Linked DNA regions of Stegostoma tigrinum. The protein of the gene in region 1 purifies or fractionates together with the protein of each later gene. This does not show direct contact. Links are inferred from orthologs where the notes say so. Each region holds a gene or a part of one and is shown in the gene's direction. Other genes may lie near its edges.

Region 1 (10,454 bases):
TGCCACCTTTATAATCAATGCCCTAACCACTGAAGGCAAGTGTGCTGTACATCTTTACCATGTTGTTCACTTGTGTTGTTGCTTTCAGAGAGCTATGGACTTGTACCCAAGGTACCTCTGTACATCAATGCTCCATTTACTGTGTTGCCTGTGAAATATGTTACACAGATACCTCAAACAGTTTGTTACTCATAAAATGTGTTGACTCGGGCACTGATACTGTATGAGACAAACAATGGACTATAATTCAAATGTAGTTTAATTAAAACACTCGCAATTTAAAGAAGTAACTCCTGAACAATAAATTCAGTTAAAATTTCCCCAAACTAGTTTGATTGCCTGAAAAGTACATACATTACCCTGCTCTGGTGAACTTTATGGGGTATGTTGGATTAAATTCACTGAGCTTTGTTGATGGGTACAGTCAGAGTCTTCTTGGTACAAAGGTGGACCTTGCAAGGAGTCTTTGCCGGTGAGTTGTCACTGATGTAGCTCATTTACGATATGTTCAAACCTTGTACGATTTTTGAGTTATACGAAAGCGCAGAGGGCCTATAGTTCCCACTGCATTCTCCATGCAATGCTTCAGCCTATCAGAGCTAATTTCTGAAGTAATCACTGCCCTTTCGTCTTTGCTCTAAATTGCCTCACTTTTCAAATGTCCTGCACTATCAAGCATTGTTATTCAAAAATTATAATTTATACCCTTATAAGTGATATAAACTCATAAGTACTTTTGAAACATTTTAAATAATTACAGATGGTGTAAATATTTTCAAGTAATCACACATGTTCCTTATTTTAGAGCTTGTGGGGCATGACGGTCATTATAAAATCATAATAAAATAGATAGGGTTACTGTGTCAATAGGTGTCTTTTGCCTAAAGTGGGGGATTTTGAGACCACAAGGTACTTTTTTAAGGTGAAAATAGAGAGATTTTAAAAAAGATATGAGGGATTTTTTTTTACTCAGAATATGTGGAATGACATTCTACGTAGCTATGGAGAAGGAGAGGATTAGGCAAAATGGGAGGATATTTAATTGGGGAAGAGGAAACTATGACGCGATTAGACACAAGTTAGGAAGCATGGACTGGGAGCAATTGTTCCATGGTAAGGGAACTATAGACATGTGGAGACTGTTTAAGGAACAGTTGTTGCGAGTGATGAGTAAATATGTCCCTCTGAGATAGGCAAGAAGGGGTAAGATAAAGGAACCTTGGATGACGAGAGCGGTGGAGCTTCTTGTGAAAAGGAAGAAGGTAGCTTACATAAGGTGGAGGAAGCTAGGGTCAAGTTCAGCTAGAGAGGATTACTCGCAGGCAAGGAAGGAGCTCAAAAAAAGGTCTGAGGAGAGCCAGGAGGGGGCACGAGAAAGGCTTGGCAGAACGGATTAGGGAGAACACAAAGGCATCTTACACTTATGTGAGGAATAAGAGAATGGTCAAAGAAAGAGTAGGGCCGATCAGGGATAGCATAGGGAACTTGTGTGTGGAGTCTGAGGAGGTAGGGGAAGCCCTTAATGAGTTTTTTGCTTCTGTCTTTACGAAAGAAACAAACTTTGTAGTGAATGAAACCTTTGAAGAGCAGGTGTGCATGCTGGAATGGATAGAGATAGAGGAAGCTGATGTGCTGAAAATTTTGTCAAACATTAAGATTGACAAGTCGCTAGGCCCGGACCAGATTTGTCCTCGGCTGCTTTGGGAAGCGAGAAATGAAATTGCTTCGCCACTTGTGAAGATCTTTGCATCCTCGCTCTCCACTGGAGTCGTACCTGAGGACTGGAGAGAGGCAAATGTAATTCCTCTCTTTAAGAAAGGAAATAGGGAAATCCCCGGCAATTACAGACCAGTAAGTCTCACGTCTGTCGTCTGCAAGGTGTTAGAAAGGATTCTGAGGGATAGGATTTATGACCATCTGGAGGAGCATGGCTTGATCAAATACAGTCAACACGGCTTTGTGAGGGGTAGGTCATGCCTCACAAACCTTATCGAGTTTTTTGAGGATGTGACTAGAAAAGTTGACGAGGGTCGAGCTGTGGATGTGCTGTATATGGACTTCAGTAAGGCATTTGATGAGGTTCCCCATGGTAGGCTCATTCAGAAGATCAGGAGGAATGGGATACAGGGGAACTTAGCTGCTTGAATACAGAATTGGCTGGCCAACAGAAGACAGCGAGTGGTAGTAGAAGGAAAATATTCTGCCTGGAAGTCAGTGGTGAGTGGTGTTCCACAGGGCTCTGTCCTTGGGCCTCTACTGTTTGTAATTTTTATTAATGACTTGGATGAGGGGATTGAAGGATGGGTCAGCAAGTTTGCAGACGACACAAAGGTCGGAGGTGTCGTTGACAGTATAGAGGGCTGTTGTAGGCTGCAGCGGGACATTGACAGGATGCAGAGATGGGCTGAGAGGTGGCAGGTGGAGTTCAACCTGGATAAATGCGAGGTGATGCATTTTGGAAGGTCGAATTTGAAAGCTGAGTACAGGATTAAGAATAGGATTCTTGGCAGTGTGGAGGAACAGAGGGATCTTGGTGTGCAGATACATAGATCCCTTAAAATGGCCACCCAAGTGGACAGGGTTGTTAAGAAAGCATATGGTGTTTTGGCTTTCATTAACAGGGGGATTGAGTTTAAGAGTGGTGAGATCTTGTTGCAGCTCTATAAAGCTTTGGTTAGACCGCACTTGGAATACTGCGTCCAGTTCTGGTCGCCGTATTATAGGAAAGATGTGGATGCTTTGGAGAGGGTTCAGAGGAGGTTTACCAGGATGCTGCCTGGACTGGAGGGCTTATCTTATGAAGAGAGGTTGACTGAGCTTGGTCTCTTTTCATTGGAGAAAAGGAGGAGGAGAGGGGACTTAATTGAGGTATACAAGATAATGAGAGGCATAGATAGAGTTGATAGCCAGAGACTATTTCCCAGGGCAGAAATGGCTAGCACGAGGGGTCATAGTTTTAAGCTGGTTGGTGGAAAGTATAGAGGGGATGTCAGAGGTGGGTTCTTTACACAGAGAGTTGTGAGAGCATGGAATGCGTTGCCAGCAGCAGTTGTGGAAGCAAGGTCATTGGGGTCATTTAAGAGACTGCTGGACATGCATATGGTCACAGAAATTTGAGGGTGCATACATGAGGATCAATGGTCGGCACAACATTGTGGGCTGAAAGGCCTGTTCTGTGCTGTACTGTTCTATGTTCTATGTTCTATGAACTTTCTGAGGAAGTAAAGGATGCAGGCACAGTTACAACTTTTAAAAGACATTTAGAGAAGTACATGTATAGGGAAGGTTTGGAGGGATAAGGGCCAGGAACAGGCAGTTGGGACTAGATTAGTTTGGGATTATGTTCAGCGTGGCAGTCCAGAGACATGCAGGTTAGGTGGATTGGCCATGCTAAATTGCCTATAGTGTCTGGGAATGTGTACTTTATGTGGATTAGCCATGGGAGATGTGTGGTTGCAGGGATGGGTGAGTTTGGGTGGGATGCTCTTTGGAGAGTCATGTGAACTTGTTGGGCCGAATAGCCTTTTTCCATACTGCAGGAATCCAATGACGGATTCTATGAACTATCAATGGTTGGACTGTAGGTTCTATTTCTGTGCTGTAAGACGCTATGACTCTATGTTGATTGGATAGCGCACAGATGTTCAGTTGCAGTTGGTGGCTCGATTGAATGATCTGACAGTGACCAGTTAAATGCTCCCACAAATTTGGCTGAGTTAGGTGGTCTAGGTTACTGGGTTAAAAACATATGAACATACAAAATAGAAGCAGAATTAGGTCATTCAGCCCCTTGAGCTTGCTCCACCATTCAATAAGATCATTGATGATTTGTTTCTACCCCAGTAAGTTTTGATTCTCTCAACAAACAAAATTCTATTTCCCTTTGCCTTAAAATCTTCCAATCTTCTGAGATGGAGTTCCAAAGCCCAGAAAATAAATCTCCTAAACTAGGTCTTAATAGGTCACCCCTAATTTGAAAACTGTGTCCCCTAGTTCTGAGGTCATTCTCAAGAAGAAAATCCTGTCCACCTTGTTACGATCTTTCAGGATCAAATATACTTCAGTCTTCACTCTTTTAAACTTCAGTTGAAGCAGTCTGACCAACGTATCCTCATAAAACAATCTGCTTAGTCCAGGTATCACCTAATAAACTTCCTCTAAACCACCTCCAATGTATTTTCATCCTTGACAAAGGAAATCAAAATTGCATTCCAGTATTTAAGATGTGATCTCATTAGTGTTCTGCTTTACTGAAATATAATATTCTCATCTTTATGTTCAATTCCTCCTGTAATAAGCAAAGGACCCAATTAGTCTTTGGTTATGTGCCATACCTGCATAGCAAAGTTTTGTTCTCATGCAGTAGAACACCTAGACCCTTGTGTAAGCCTAAATTCTGCAGTCATTCTCTAGGTAAGAAATACTTTCCTTTTTCTTCTTTCCTAACAGTTAATGATTTCACATTTTCCCACATTATACTCCATCTGCTGGATATTTTGCTCCTTTGCTCCATAATCATCTAAAAACTTGTTAGGTCTTTTACAGGGATAGTAGGAACGGCAGATGCTGGAGAATCTGAGATAACAAGGTGTAGAGCTGGATGAACACAGCAGGGTCGAGGCCCAAAACTTCAGCTTTCCTGCTCCTCTGATGCTGCTTGGCCTCCTGTGTTCATCCAGCTCTTCAACTTGTTCTGTCAGGTCTTTTACAGAACTTACTTTCCTATCTGTTTTGCAAATGGTTGAGGGTCCAGCACAGACCCCTGTGTCACATGGCCATGCCAAACAAAAGGGCCCTGTAGTGTCCAGAGATGTGCAAGTTTGCTGTGTTAGCCATGGTAAAAACCCCATTCTGGGATATGGGGATGGGTTTGGGCAGGGGAGAGGTCTGGATGAGATGTTCTTTAGTGAGTGAGTGCTGACTTGATGGGCCAAATAGCCTCTTTCTGCACTGTAGGGATTCAATTATTCTACTCTGTGACAATGGGGCAACTTTTTCACACATAGTTCCATACACACGCCACCCTATCTGCCACAGGAAATGGTGGAGGCAGGTACATTACAACATTTAAAAGACATCTGGATGTGTAGATGAATAAGATGGGATTCGAGGGATACGGGTCAAATGCTGGCACATAGGACTAGATTAATTTAGATATGTGGTCAGCATGGATGAGTTGGACCAAAGGGACTGTTTCCATGCTGTTCATCTCTATGACCTATATGCATACTTTCCATTCTCCGCCAGCCAACCAATCTTCTACGTCCAAACGTGTTACCTTTATACCATAATTTTTTTTATTTTATTGGGTCGAATTCAGTGGTTCTGGGTGGGATTTCCCAGATTAATGCGTTAGGTTGGGCGATCCCAGCTGGTGGGTGAGGTTGGAGTTGTGTGATCCTGGAAGTTGGATCCAGTTGGAGTTGGATTGGATTGGATGGACTCCGGGAGTTTGGGCTGTGTGTTTCTCGGTTGTGGCTGAGACTTTCCTGGAGTACACTGTAGGGCTGGGCATCAGGGAGGCGGATCCCTTTCAGCTGGGGAGGCGGTGACTGTGTCCCGGACCGGACTGTGCCGGTGCTGCATACCGAGAGGTTGTTCCTGACCATGTACACCATTACCCGGGGACCCAGTAGGCTGGCTACACAGCGGAGGACGGGTAGGAGGCAGCGCCGCGCAGCGCCCCACTCGGCCCAGCGCACACTTTTGGCTCCTTCTCACACTCTCTCTCTCTCTCTAACGCAGGTCCATCCCAGCAGATCGAAGCCAAGTCCGGTTGTGACCTCAAGCTGAAACCGGTGGGGAGGTAAGTTGAGGAGTTCGGGTGGGGACTCGGGCAGGCGGTGTCTGGCAGTCCAGCTCTGTGACCTTGCGGTGAAGGTGACATTTAGGCTGGGGAGCTCGCCACAGGAGCCGGCCTTATCTTCTCGCTCTGTCCCGTAGAGATCATTGACCGACACAGATTAGGTAGCGCTCTGGGTTTGTGTTACAATCTGGGACAGAGTACTCTCTGTGTGTTACAATGTAGCACTGTGCTCAATGTGTAGTACTCTGTGGGGCTGTGTGTTATAATGTGGGCCACTGTGTTTGGTGTGGCTTATATAACATAGGAGGGTGTCTGTTGCATAATATTCGAGCGGTATCTCTTGTACAATATAGGAGCATGTGCTCGTGTGTTATAAGGTGGAGCAGTATTCTGTGGGACAGTGTGTTGTAATGTAAGTCACTGTGCTCAAGTGTATGTTGCATGGTGCAGGATAAAAGACAACCCACACTCAGCACACTGCCACCTGATGCTGTGCACATAAGCCAGTATTCTGCTCCACAATTTACAACACACAACCAGTACAATGTAGAGCAGTATGTTGCATGTGAGCACTGCATTATATGGGACAATGTGTTGGTTGGGTGTGTATTGTGGGACAATACTTTATGTGTATTGTGTTAAATTACGTGGAGCTGTGTGTTCTGTGTATTTTAACATTTAGACCAAGGTACTGTGTCAGTGTGTTATTAAAATGTGGAATTGTATTTTTGGTGCAAGTGCTTAACATGCAACAGTATGATTGTTATGTGTTGCTTACCATGGATTAGTGTAATCGTAGTGTGTAGAGCCCTATGCTGCATGTCTGTATAATGTGGAGCAGTGTGCCTGGTGTGTGTAGTGTGGAATAGCATGCGTTGTATAATGTGAATAATTTGACCTTCATGATTGGTTTTGCTCGTAGGCAAACACTTACTAGTGAATAGAGGATTGCAACATGTTACTGCACAGTGTATGCTTCAACTGAGAGAACAAGAACGGGGTAAAGACCAAGCTAGCTACCCAATTGTGGAGTAGGAACAAACTGCAGGTTTTTGACTTTGAGCCCAATATGAAAATACGATATCCTATTTCCCAAGGCTGTTATAACATTTAAAGTACTTCACAACTTTATCTTTTCAGTTGTGTCCTTATCATTGAACTGCTTGTCGGTGATAAAGAATTACTCAACACTTAAGATTTCCTGACTCGGGACATTGACAACTGCATGCCATTATGTGTCCTTTACCTTTTACCCACATACTGGTTATGTTGGTCTTTTTAGTTTTTAATGAATTCCAGTTTCGATGATGGCTGAATAACACTTATAGACCATGAAATATCACCCTTAATCCAACATTTCCATGGCCATACTGTTGGAGGTCTTGTGCCCGTTATGATATTTGAAGTGGAAAACTTTGCTGACTCTGGAAGTCTGCTTGTCTACTGTCAGCTGTACTCTACTCATATAAAGACCCCTATTGATCTGTTTCAGATTCAGGCTCTTGATCTCGGCAGCAGTACCTCACATTACTAACATGGTCAAGTGAGGATACCTCTGTGTTGCTCGTGGATATAACTGCCTGTAGTCTGTATTCAGGTCAAGCAGACAGCAGCTGTTAGTTTGCCAGGGTTAAGGTTTGGGTTTCACTGATAGATATGTGCTGAATAGAGACAGATTTAATGTTTTCCTAAAAGTAAACCAAGATGTTGAGCAATTACCACCCATTTCTGTCAAACCATAGGAGTGTGTGCGAGAGAAAGGGTATTTTTTATTGTGTTTGTATTCTTCAAAAAAATTATATTTTCTAAATGAGAGATAATAGGAACTGCAGATGCTGGAGAATCCGAGATAACAAGGTGTAGACCTGGATGAACACAGCAGGCCAAGCAGCATCTTATGAGCAGAAATTAGGAGCAGTTATTTTCTAAATAACCTGTTTAGAGATGTTATTACATGTTTCTGGTAGGACTTGAATCTGGGTTTTGCTTTATGTTATTCAGAGCCCCCTTATGTTTGGTCTGTCTGCTAGGCATCTCCTTGCTGTTTTAAAGAACGCAACACAAAAGTACCAGAATGACTGAAGGGGCCTGTGTACATCTGAAACATAGACCAAAGGTTAGGGGATATTTGTTGAATGGACTTTTATCTGAAAGACAATCTAACTGTTAACTTCGTGCCTGTCAGTATTCTAAAGTTTTGTTCCAGCTTTTAGTTTGTTTTCCTTTAGTGTGCAATTTCAGAAGGTTTGACGCCAAGTCCAGTAAAGCTAGTGTCCTGATTCAGACCACAACTCCTTTTCTTCTCTTCAATTCCCTGCAAAGTTTCAGCCCTCCTTCCTTATTGGGTCAGTACATCTCCTTCCTAGAGTCAGAGTCATATAAAACACAAACATCCCCTTCAACCCAACTTGTCTGTGCTGTCAGGATTTCATAGATGTCCTGATGGAGAAATTACCTGTATTTCCTTGGTAATCCACAGGGTAGATTTACTATGGAATTTCACTTTGTTCTGCCAGTAAAGGATCTGCATTCCTGGAGAGAGGTTAACTTGGCGTTTACAGTGGTGTCTGTCACAGCTGCCTTGGGTCTTTTTCAAGCAGCGTCATTCCTTTTTCCTACAGCTGAGGAGAGGCTGAGGAGAATTCCTATTTTGGGGTGCACTGATGTCCCAAGTTGGGGCCACAAAGGAAGGAGGGTAACTGTGCATGCATTCCTAACTTAAATATTCCAGAAGGCCTGAACTGCTGAGAGCATAGAGGTACCGCACAAGAACAGGCCCTTCAGCCCACCATGTCTGCACTGACCATGATGCCATTCTAAACTAATTCCATCCCCCTCCCCTGCCCAGTATTTGTTATTTCCACAATGGGAAAAACATTTCCAACTATCCACCCTATCCAAGTGTCTCATTATTTTAGCTACTTCTATCAGATTGCCCCCCAGGTTTTAACACTTCAGCAAAAACAGGTTTGTCCAACCTCTGTTTAGAGCTAATTCACTCCAATCCGGTCAACATCCTGGGAAACCTCTTTTGTACCCAGCCCAAAGTCTCCACATCCTTCCAATTAGTGTGCTGACCAAGACTGCACACAATACTCCAAATGTGGTCAAAGATTTTATACAGCTGCTACAGGATTTGTCAACTTTTATGCTCAATACCCTGACCGTTGAGGGCAAGTAACTTGCACACCTTTTTTTTTGTATCACCTTATCCACTTGTGTTGTCACTTTTGGGGAGCTATGGACTCGCATCCCAAGATTCCTCTGTATATCAGTGCTCTTAAAGGTCCTGCCATTTACATGCTTTCCTCTTGCATTTGAATAGCTGCTCACAATTGGTTAAAAAGTGACATATTTTGGTAGGAACAAGAAGAAGTACTGATCCCATTTTAACTCTTGAAAATTAACATGGTCCCAAATGCAAATGAAAACAAAAGCTTTGTTTGACAGTGTTGTTTGAAATGGATAAAATTGTAAACTTATTTCCCTCACCTCTCTGCACGTTACTTTAATTCTATTGATTGTAACAGGTAAAATCAAAAGGTTTACATAAATGTATGATATTTCTTTGCCTGTGCGAGTTAGAAGGATTACCTCAAAAGATGTATTCTGAGCTAATTGAAAAAGTCAGTGCAGGAGTAGGCTGTCCAGCCCTTCAAGCGTGCTGTGCCATTCACCGTGATCATGGCTGATCCTCTATCTCAGTGCTGGTTTTCTTTCATACCCTGAGAATCTTAAAAATTTATTTGAAAGATAATTAAGGTTGTTTTTATTGTACTCACCACTGTGAAAGCTCATCTTTTCAACATTGGATAAATGTGGTTTCCTGACTTGTTCTTGTTTTCAAGTGTTAAGTTTAATTGATTTAATGCTTTTGCTGAACAGGAGACAAATGAAACATTTTGGCTTTTCTTCAGATTTGACAAGAACATTTGTGAAAGCCTTGAAATTGTTTAGCGGATATTAAGATGTAGACCTGCAGAGGGCCACTGGTTATATTTTGGTTCCTTTTGTGTACCTGTGCTAACATTGCCAGACCTCACTTCTTTGATATTCTGAAACTTTGGTTAAATCACAGGTACTGGCTGTTTCTAGTTAGTCACATAAGAGAGGAGAGCACAACTTGCAATCAGTAAATCAGTATCTTGGTAAACCAGAATTAATTCATGCAGTCATAGGTTTCTTATTGTATTGTATAGTTCAGCCTGTGTTTACAACTTTTAATTCAAATGTATTCATCTGAATTAAAAGTTTATCAATTTAATTCAGATTTGGACAAGCATATGGACGTACATGGAATAGTGTAGGTTAGATGAGGTTGAGATCGGTATGACAGGTCGGCACAACATCAAGGGCCGAAGGGCCTGTACTGTGCTGTAAGGTTTTATGTTCTATGTGTAATATTCTCTATTTTATTACTTTATGACCCAAAAAATATAATGCAATGCTCTTTGAACTATTGGCTTCAACTTTGATTTATGTTTTTTGTCATGGATTTCTTGGAACTCTTTCACAATAGCTCATGATCTCTATTTTGAGTTCTGCTCCTCTGATGCCAATACAACAATATTAAGGCTGGTGGGACTAAAGTTATAAACTGATTTTGTATGAACCAGTCAGCTCTAGCACATAGATGATATCAGTTCAG
Region 2 (10,889 bases), on another chromosome or scaffold:
TTGCCAAGCAGGTATAGTCAAGATTTTTTTTCCTGTTCAAGAAATCCTTGTTATCTATCTTTAGGGACTATTAGTGCTCACCATTCTTAATTACACTGCACAAGAAGGCAGTTTACTAAACTTTTTTTAAGGGTGTTCTGCAACAAATTTCTCTCAAGAAAAATGCCGGTGTAAATTATCTGCAGCAAAACCATGGTCTCTCAATGGAGGTATTAATATAACATTTTGTAAAAACATCCTACACATTTTTTTGAGAGCTGTTCAATCTTGAAGTGCAAAATGATGCATTTTGGGTCAAACTCTTCAATTTGGATCACTGTATTTTAATTTTACATAGTGTCTAATTTGGTCGATTTGATCTAATTTCAATAAACTGAGCAATAATCCTGTCATAAATGTGAATAAGGCAGTAGAACATTAATTTTGTCTGTTCAGTATGAATAAGACTTTGTTGAAGCTTTTCTTGTGAGATACTATTAAAGGATTGTTTTAAACAGAATAAAAATTGTTCCACAGTAAATGTACCTTTAAGTTGTCTTCATTCCACTTCATGCTCCTTCATTATTTTTCACCTTTCGTGCTGAGCAATAGTTCCAAAAGCACTAATTTCTCATTACCAGCAGGATCTTCAACTGGGTGAAAGAATTGTTATCAAATCAAATCTAATTCTAATCACTTTTTATGCATTCACGTGAAGCAGAAATTTTACTTTCACCCCTATTGCCAGGTGTAATATTTCAGCTGAGTTCTGGCAATATAGAATGGTCTTAGTGTGGACTTTACTAGTTTCAAAATCTCCCTACCCCCCAGCCTCATCCCATGACCAACCCATCCTCTCATCCCCACCTCCTTGACCTGACAAAACCTGTCCATCTGCTCTCCTGCCTATCTGCTCTTCCCACCTAACTGACCAACCGCCACTTTTGCCTACTTGCGCTCACCTATTACCATCCCACCTACCTTGCCAAGCCCCACACCTCTCTGTATTTATTTCAGAGTTCCCTTCCCCCTCCCCCATTTCTGAAGAAGGGTCCTGACCTGAAACATCAGCTTTTTTGCTCCTCTGATGCTGCCTGGCCTGCTGTGAGTCCACACTGTGTTATCCTAGACTGTTGTGGGCATACTGTTATTCACTGTGTATGCAGGACAAAGCAGCCATTTAATTGACATCACATCCGCAAGCATCCAGTGCCGACACCCAGTAGTAGCAGCAGTGTGTACTATCTACAAGATGTGCTGCAGAAATTTACCAAAGATTCTTAGACAGTCGGTTCCAAATCCACAGACACTTCCAACTAGAAGACAAGGGCAGCAAGTACATATGAACACCACTAGCTGCCCTCCAAGCTACTTACCATGCTGACTTGGAAATATATTGCCATTCCTTTATTCTTGCTGGATCAAAATCCTGTAATTCCTTCAAGGGCAGTGTTTCAACCTACAGCATGTGGACTCCGGCGGTTCAAGGACGCACCTCATAACCACCTTATCAAAAGCAACTAGGGATGGGCAATAAATGTTGTCCAGCCCGTGATACCCACATCCCATTAGTGAGTAAAAAATTTCCCCCTTGCAAGATCCATGAGATAATTGCGATCATAAGGACTTGAATTGGAAAGGAATAAAATAACACAAAATTGTGTTTAGCGTTTGTCAATGTTTCTGGAGAGAAATAAATTCATGTCCTTCAAGAATTCCATATCTTTGTTTCTGGAATTTTTGTTCCCTCCCCCACAATATAATCTGTTACAGGCATGCCAGAACTTTATTAAATAAAAAAGTTAGTCTGGCTGTCAGATTGTCACTGCCATTGGGTGTGTAATTGAGTAGTTGCATTCAGCAGATTATAGCTTGGGCTTTCAGTAGATTTGGGCAGTGAACGTATATTTGTGGAAAGTTGAATGGAAATGTAACGTTGCCTATTTCTACGCATCTCTCAGCTCATCTGCTCAAATGTTGATCTATACTTTAATCTTAGATTTGACTATTAAATGCTTTCTTGATTGGCGCATTCCAGGTGGAAGACCGTAAATGGGATCTTAACCAAAATCCTGCTGTTTGTAAACTTACTCCTAACAAGTCCTCTTGACCTATCACCTTGTGTATTGACTTGTCTCTTGGTCTAGCAAGGCCTATTTAAAATTCACATCTTGTTTTCAAATAGCTCTGTAGCTTGCCCCTCATCCCTGTAATCTCTTCTGGCCTATCAAACTTCACGAGTGCGCATCTCCAGTTCTGTCTGTGTGCATCATTAATTTGGATCATTTCACAATTATCTGCCTTGCATTCAACTGTCTAGACCCAAGTTCTGGAATTTCTTCTCTAAACTGTCAGCCTTGCTAGCTCTCATATGGGATGACTTTTAAAAATACCTTTTTGCCCAAGCTTCATCATTTGCCCTAATATCTCTCTGCAGTTTAGTGTCTGGTTTTATTTAGTATTACTTGAGAAACACTTTGAGATGCCTTATTGTGCTAAAGACTATGGAAATGCAAGCTGTTAGTGTTAAATATGCTTGCATTTTATTTCAGGCTTAATAAAAAGTGGTTCCATATATGATTTTTGGATAGAACTACTGGTAATGATTTATTTCAATTTGATAAGAAGGATCTCATTTTTAATGCATTGATGTAATTCTTTGATCAAGTTCAACTGTATGAAACAAAATTCTGAACTAACATAAATAATTCATGTCCTCAAACTAGTATCACGAGCAAATTACTTAATTCCAACAAATCAAATTAGTTATGCTTATTTGGCTTGCTGTGGAATTATGAATTCCCCACTGCAACTATAAAAATTTTTATGCTTCCAGAATATGGATGGTAAACAATAATCGAAGTTTTAAAACAATTAGGCATTAATACAAATATGTCAAATAACTTTGTTAAGAAAACATCTTCACAGATGCTGAAAGAGCTGAGTATTTCTCGTACTCTCTTTCTATTATAGATTGTGTGATTGAGTGGCAGCTGAGGCAAATAAAAATGGAAACACAGAACTTTGTAGGCTTCAAGCTAGAAATGCGTTCCATTAGAGGTTTCTAGTCTCAAATACAAACCACATTTTTTCCCCAGTCCCCTAAATTGTTGGTATACTCATCCCACGTTGTTGGCAGTTCCTGCTGAATAAATGGGAGCTTAAGGTTAGAAATTATTAAAGTCAATATTACAGACTGTTTCTTGAATTTATGTTAGCCTATTCAACTGAAGCAGATAGGGCAGGGTGGAAGAAAGATACTGAATTGGCAAGCATATGAGATTTGCAAATGCATACAATATGGAGGTATCCCTTAATCTGTGTACCATTCTAGGTTGGACAAGGTATACATAAACTAAAAGGAGTATTTGGAGCTGTAATCTCATTGAATGGTAGAGCAGTCTTGATGGGTGAATTGTGGAAACAACCTGATAGGCTAAATGGCCTACTTCAGCTCATATCTTTTGGTGGTGTGAGAATGAAAAGTACTAGAGAAGAATTGTAGGTGATAGGAATGTTAAAGAATAAAGCTGTGTCATTGAGTAATGATCCATTCAGAAAAAGGAAAGGAAGACAAGATATGTTACATGAGAGATTACTGCAAGACGGGCAGATTAAGGTCGCCCATTGAAAGCAGGAATTGGCACAGTTGAAGATTAAGCTTAAAAGTTCCCATCAGTGGGATGGGACTGGGGACACAAACGGAATAGAAAAGACTTGGTTGAGGATCCTGACTACCATGGTTGAAGGGGTTGAGAATCCTCAAATGGGATTTTATTTCTGAATCATCTGTAAATTAACTGGAGTAAGTGGGACAGAGAAACAGGCGAAGGGGAAATAGAGATTTTTGACTTGCTGGCTGAGCTGGCTTGTTCTTGTTTAGACGTTTCATCAACATGTTAGGTGACATTGTCAGTGGAGCCTCCAATGAAGCTTCATCGGTGACTCCATTGATGATGTCACCTAGCATGGTGATGAAACATCTGAATGAGAACAAGCCAGCTTGGCAAGCAAGTCAATGACCTCCCCCACAACCTGAGCTACAGATTTTTGGTAAAACTTTGAAGGGGAAGTAGAGTTGCGAAATGAGCAGAAGGGTGATCTGGACAGAAGTAGGATTTATTATTAGTATGGTTTAGAAGGGGTGGACGCTAGGAAGTTATTTCCGTTAGGCGGGGAGACTAGGACCCGTGGGCACAGCCTTAAAATTAGAGGGGGTAAATTTAAAACTGAAATGAGACGACATTTCTTCAGCCAGAGAGTGGTGGGCTTGTGGAATTCATTGCCAGGGAGTGCAGTGGAGGCCGGGACGTTGGATGCCTTCAAGGCAGAGATCGACAAATTCTTGATCTCAGAAGGAATCAAGGGCTACAGGGGGAGAGTGCAGGGAAGTGGAGTTGAAATGCCCATCAGCCATGATTTAAATGGCGGAGTGGACTTGATGGGCTGAATGGCCTTACTTCCACTCCTATGTCTTATGGTCTTACGGATTTAGTGGGCTTTCATTTCTGGAGGTAGCAAGCAGTCCAGGAAGGGAAGATCAAAAATGGAGAGTATACAGTTCAAGTAATTGAAAACTTGAAACAATGAATTAAATATTCTAAATTGGGGCGAGTGATAGTCATCACTTTAAGAGGAAACGAGGTCAGAGGAGAACCTGAGAAGAGAGCAAGGACATGTACACATTTCCTGCAACAATATTATGAATACATTTATTTATTTTCTGTAAATCTGTTTTTAACAGTTTTGTACAAACATTTTAAGCATTTGTAATCGGCACTTTGAAGTAACAACATGGTTATTAAAATAATTTGTTAAAAAAACTTAATTACGTGGCTGGTCCTGGATCAAACTGATTGCTCTTGTCTTGTAACCCTCTATCATAAACTAAATTCAATCACTTAAAACTTATGTTTAGCAGTAAAAAAAAAGCTATGGAAGTTGCTAACTTCTAATAACGACCTAACTGATGGCTCATTAACTATTTTAGACCAATATCAATCAACCATTCCAAAACTAAAATCAAATCTGGAAAAAAACCAGAAAATTATACAAATACTCAGGAGGTCATACAGAATCTGCAGAGAGAGAAAAAGATTTATGGTTCAGATAAATGACATTTTATGAGAATGATTATCTGCTTTACTTGACCTATACGTGTATAAATTTCATGGCGGATTATATATTCTCCTGGATTAGTTTTGCCCGCCATGCAGTTGAATGGAACACGCCCAATAAATACAACCTTTTGATATCAACCGTGTCCCGACAATAGACTAATTTGAATAGGCTGTAAATTCATTGTAAGTTCTCAAATCTTTCTAATGCATCAAATTAGCATGATTATAACTAAGGTGTGAAGAACAGGCTTCAATGCGACTGTCATCTTGGAATACGAGGTACACTTGCAAAGTAGAGGTGTGATGCACAAAACTAATAGTAGATATGAGCTTTTCCCTTTGTTGATGTATAAATGTTGGTCCGAACAATTACCTACTTTCCTTGTACCAATTTATCCATGTCTGTTTACAATTACAATTTGCCTATTTACCTTCAGTCGTAGCACTCTTGCCTTTGAGCCAAGAGGTTTTGTCTTCTTTTCTCACTGCAGAGCTCCACACAGAAAAACCTGACACTGCAGCAGTGCAGAAAGAATCCTACATTGTCAAATATGCTACCTTTCAGATACAAGAAACGAAGGCTCCATGTGCCTTTTCAGGGTAATTGTAAAATATCTCACGGTGCTATTTTGAAGCAAAGCATGTGTTATTCTGGTTAGTCTAGCAACTATTTCACCCTCATCATAATATATACATATTAATTTAGTTGAGAGATAACAGGCCCGAAACGTTAACTTTCCCGCTCCTGATGCCGTTTGGCCTGCTGTGGGGATCCAGCTCCACACCTTGTTACATAATTTAGTTATTTTGTTTGCAACAATTTGCTGTGCTTAGATGGCTGCCATTTATTCGATAGCATAACATTTCATGCTTTGCGATGTCCTATTATGAAAGGTGCTATGTAAATACAAGTTGGGTGTGTTCTCAGTGAGACTAGGAGGAAATGTTGACCTTTCCTAAGAAAGAGCTGAGCAGGGTGCAATGTCCAAAGATCAACATCACAAGTAAAAATGAACTCAATTCAACCAAGCTGAGATAGTGATCACTACTCCGGCCATCTGAGAGCTTGTCCCTCACCCGCAAAATAAACCTCCGCGCTCGTCGACGAGGTCAGAAGTCCGAAAGAACAGGACCGGAGAGCAGTGGGGGGAATGAGGGCAAAGCCAAACACAGTAACAATAAAGGGGGAGGGGGGGGAAGTCCCGTCGTAAAACCACTCGTTCCCGTCCATCTCCTGGCCGTTCTTTCAGCAGCGTCGAGTCCGATGATGCAGAGCCAACTTACTTTGTGGGTGGGGGAGGGGTGATCGACCGCATTGCCGGTGTGGTTTGGGGGTAGGGGAAGGTGCGAATGCGCCGGTCGGTGGGTGCGCGCGCACACGCCGGCGTGCCCGAATCCTGTTTGTCTGCCCCTCCCCTCAAACCTCCCCCCCCCTCCGCCACCCCGACCCCTCTCTGCCCCTCCCCTCCCCCCCCCCCCCATTCTCGTCCGTTCACCGTGTTGTTGGTGGCGGCCGAAGCTTTGCGATAGCAACGGGCGTTGCGGCGCTAACTGACTTTGAGGCCTGGACAGGCGATACGGAGGCCGCATCCGTACTCTTGTCCCTGACGACGTTTTCGTATTCCTCGGCGGGGGTGGGGAGAAGGGGAGGGGGGGAGGGTTTCACTGGTGTTGTGGATGCTGGGCCGGACCTTTTCTGTTCAAGGGTTTGAAGTGACTGGAAGCGGCATCTCTCTCCCACCCCTTGCCCTCCCCCATCACCATCATCGCCCACCATCATGTCCATGAAGCAGCCCAACAGCCGAAAGCCCAGCGGCGGCATCGGGACTGGTGGAGCAGCAGCTGGAGTTGGCGGAGGAGGGAGACAGTCAGGCGGCAGGTAATGAACAGGCTCTGTGTCCCCCCCCCTCTTTCCCCTCTCTGTGTCCCCCCCCCTCTTTCCCCTCTCTGTGTCCCCCCCCCTCTTTCCCCTCTCTGTGTCCCCCCCCCTCTTTCCCCTCTCTGTGTCCCCCCCCCTCTTTCCCCTCTCTGTGTCCCCCCCCCTCTTTCCCCTCTCTGTGTCCCCCCCTCTTTCCCCTCTCTGTCCCCCCCCCTCTTTCCCCTCTCTGTCCCCCCCCTCTTTCTCTATTGGTCCAACTTTAGCCCGAGGCTCTGGAGGCGGCCTTCTGTCACTGATGGGCCCGCCTTTCCCCTTCAATATGCCGGGCCCCGCGTTACCGAGAAACGAAACGGTAGTGTCCAGGCCTTGCGCTCAGGCCTCATCTTCCAGCGGGTTAATGCCGCTATGAGGATGCGGCCTACACGCCAGAAACCATAGACATCTGTATTCGGGCGGCTTTTAAAATACAGCCATTAAGCAGATGTAGATTAACCAATGCTTAAAGAGGATACATTCCTTTAGGGAAATCCGTTAGGTGCGATACAGCGTCAGTGTTCAAAGTTTCTTAGACCTTTACATTTTCTTCAATCTCAACAAAAGTATCTTTATGAAACGGAACTTGTTCAAGGTTTAAACCATTGTCAATGAATATTCGTTAGACACGAACATATCGAAATGCAGAACAATTATTACAATAATCTTAAATTAAGATCATACTGAGAATTTCAAAGTTACTTGTAATTCGTCAATAATGCAGAGTTATGATGTGACATTAAAATCAGAACAATTGTATTCAAAAGAACAATGTCTTGTATGTTACATGACGATTTAAATAACCGTACTGTTTTAGTGAGATTGACTGTGCGTGAGGAATATTAAGCTTTCTACAAAAATTTGTTCCTTGCAATGAATTTGTGCTGTACGTTTTGTGACAGTGCTGTACATACAATGCGAACATTTTACAGAATATTATGAAATTAAATATATTTATCCTCTAATAGTTAAAATTGAGCTGAAGATGTACTTCAGTGGTACTCTGAAAAACTAAGTTTGTGTATGCTTCAGCCCATGTGTTGCAACAGAGTTGATGACTGGCATTTGAATCATATTTACATTGGTTTTTATCTCCTTATTACTAAATGATTTAACCCTTTACTCCATTAATGATACCAGTGTTTTTGACTCATAATAATTATATAGTATTTTGAAGTTAATTATGAAAGTTCCAAGTATTTTGTTCCTTACAACTATAATTATATACTTATCCTCTCTGGAATGATGAGCTTTCCTCTTCCCAACAGTGGCAGATATTTTGTTAGATTTGTGTTTAGTTTGTACTGATCGGTTTGACTTGTTTATTTTTGAAATTTGTGTTTGGCATTGTATTGATTTCATTGCTTTTGTTCAAAGATGTGCAGGTTAGGTGGATTAGCCATGGGAAATACAGGGTTACAGGGATCGGGGTGAGTAGGTCTGTGTCAGATGCTTTTTGAATGCTCGTTGTGGACTTGATGGGCTGAATAACCTCTCTTAGTGTAAGGATTTTATGATCGTGTCAATGTGAATGAGTTTAATTATACATGCCAAAACAAGAGGAACTGTTGTTTCTTAAGCCTTTCCTCAAATATTTCTCTTCCATTGGGGAAAAAACACTTTCTCACTTTTAAGGACGTAATACAAATAGCTTTGCTTCAAATAATTGTCTTGGAAGATTTTTGGCTCTGTTTTCACAAGACAGATAATTTTAAAATTTAAATCATCGGACATGTAACCAAGGTGGAGTCGGAAATAACTCAAAGCTTTTATAGTAATTTTCCTTTTATATGTTAAAATGAATAGTTGCCTGATTTGACACCAGTTCACAATTCATCTTCAATCTGCCCATCTCCTGTGTGATTTGCTTGATCTTTCAACATCTCCTTGGACCACATGAGATATCGTAGGTTTAAAAGCCCCTAATCCCCATATCAAGCCTTTTGGAGCTTTTCAACTCAAACTACTGTTTGAAAAATCATATGTACTTGGCAAATCAGCGCTTATTCACTTATATGTTTAGGCATTTGCTTGCAGCCAGGAGAAAGTGAGTGAGGTAAAAACTTAGATTTTTTTCCTGCTTTTCACAACGTCAGAATGCCTAAAACATTACAGACCTAATGAAATACTCTTTCTTTAAATTGTAGCTACTGTAATGTAACAAAATGTGACAACCAATTTGTTCACTGCCAAAGAAACAAGATAAATTATGAAGCATATGTATTGGGCAGGACACTGAAGAACTTCCCTGCCTATCGTCTTGTATGGAGAACAGCTGGGTTTTTTAAATTCCAATAATTCAGTGCACACTTTATTTAGGTCAGCCTTCTATGGGGCCAGAAGTCTGGAGTTTACCTTGAATTTGTTATTTCCTGGCTGAGAAGTCTGTAACTTACCATTGAATAAAGGCTATCAGTTAGTTTTTCAATTTGGTTTCTCTGACACAATGTAACAAGGTGAAAAATAGTATCTTGCTAATTTCCAGGACAGATCTTTTTCTCTTGCATCCTCAAAACCCTTTCTCTGTTTGTCCTAACTCCGTTACCTTACAACTGCTCATTCGAGATTGGAAATGACTGTGAAAGTCATTCTCATGTTGGTCTTTTCAATCACGGCAAGAAAATGTCTTAAAACCTACTTGTTTAATTTGAGCCAAAATGTATGATAATCCACTTTGGTATACTGTCCTTGTGGATTTATGTTTGGATGAGGTGTGGCTGTTTGTTCACTCTAGTTTCACAGAATCCCTGATTGAAGCATAACAGATTCTACATTTATTTGCTATTTATTCGATAGTAAATGAACAACAAGGCCTTTTTTATGAATCTGGGCTACAGTTGTGGACCTTGATCTGAGAGGTGCATAAATTTGGTCACAAGTTCCTAATCTATACTGGATGACCTGCCCTTTCTGACTGGCAAGTGCCAGCAGTGATCCTTTGTCAAATCTGTTGTGTATCCATTGGTCTATTTCACTCAACAGTTTTTAAGTGAATGCAGTGAACATTTATGTATTGTTGGACTGCCATTCAGATCATCTATCTTCAACAGCAGTTTGGAAAATGTACACTTCTATTTTATACCTTCCTCTTCAAATTTTCCAACTTTGAAACAGTTTTTTATGATTTGCTTGCATGCATTGTCTGGATTGCATATTTTGCAAACATCATGCGATTTCCTGATTAGAAAGTGTTTACCTAATCTTTTACATCACAGTCACAGCATTTAGTTGGTTGTAAAGAAATTTAGGAACTCCTGAGGTCATGAAAGGCTGTAAATTTTTTTTCCCTGTCTTAAACAATTTTGCTAGTAAAGCTATGGTTCTTAGATTTAATGTTTATTATAATTATACTGAGAGGGAGAAGCAGTACTAGTTGTGACTATATATGAAAGCTGCTTTTGGGGCTGGGCCTGGATGAATTTTGAAATAAAATGGTTTGGAATCATAGAAATGGGCAGAGGGTTCTTTATCCTTTGCATTTCTCTTGGGTTTTAATACAGACTCTTCATCAGGTTGTCTGGTGGCTGGTCATGTTTATAGTGGACCCTACAGTCTACTTTGTTTCTAGATTATGACCAACTTTGACAAGCATCTTCCAAAGTGTTTGTATTCAAGGTGAATGTGTTGTCTAGTTGACTTCGCTCTTCATAATCAATGTGCACTAAATGCCATGTTGATCCAGTTGTCAGCAATATGGTAAGGATCCTGTAGTATTGGTCAGGAGACAAATGTAGGGCTTGGGTTAGCCTTCGAATTGCTCTTCACTTGGTTACACTCAGTCATAGCCTAGTTAAACTAACTGTATAAGATTAATCCAGAAGCTGTGGAATTAAATTTGATGGCAGCTTTTCTCCTCCATTCTCTCTTTGGTATTTTGT

Evidence for each region.
Region 2: the proteins of mcrip2 (region 1) and atxn2 purify together in Homo sapiens (co-immunoprecipitation; 3 studies listed by BioGRID and IntAct, with this or other methods). This does not show direct contact. The link is inferred for Stegostoma tigrinum from reciprocal best matches to the Homo sapiens genes MCRIP2 and ATXN2.

Annotation. Positions count from the first base shown.
Region 1 is NC_081376.1:31,592,052-31,602,505, reverse strand, and holds the start of mcrip2 (MAPK regulated corepressor interacting protein 2), read left to right. Parts: upstream 1-5,408; 5' UTR 5,409-5,607; coding exon 5,608-5,659; intron 5,660-5,745; coding exon 5,746-5,806; intron 5,807-10,454.
Region 2 is NC_081379.1:23,198,121-23,209,009, forward strand, and holds the start of atxn2 (ataxin-2), read left to right. Parts: upstream 1-6,584; 5' UTR 6,585-6,877; coding exon 6,878-6,978; intron 6,979-10,889. UniProt on the Homo sapiens protein: Involved in EGFR trafficking, acting as negative regulator of endocytic EGFR internalization at the plasma membrane.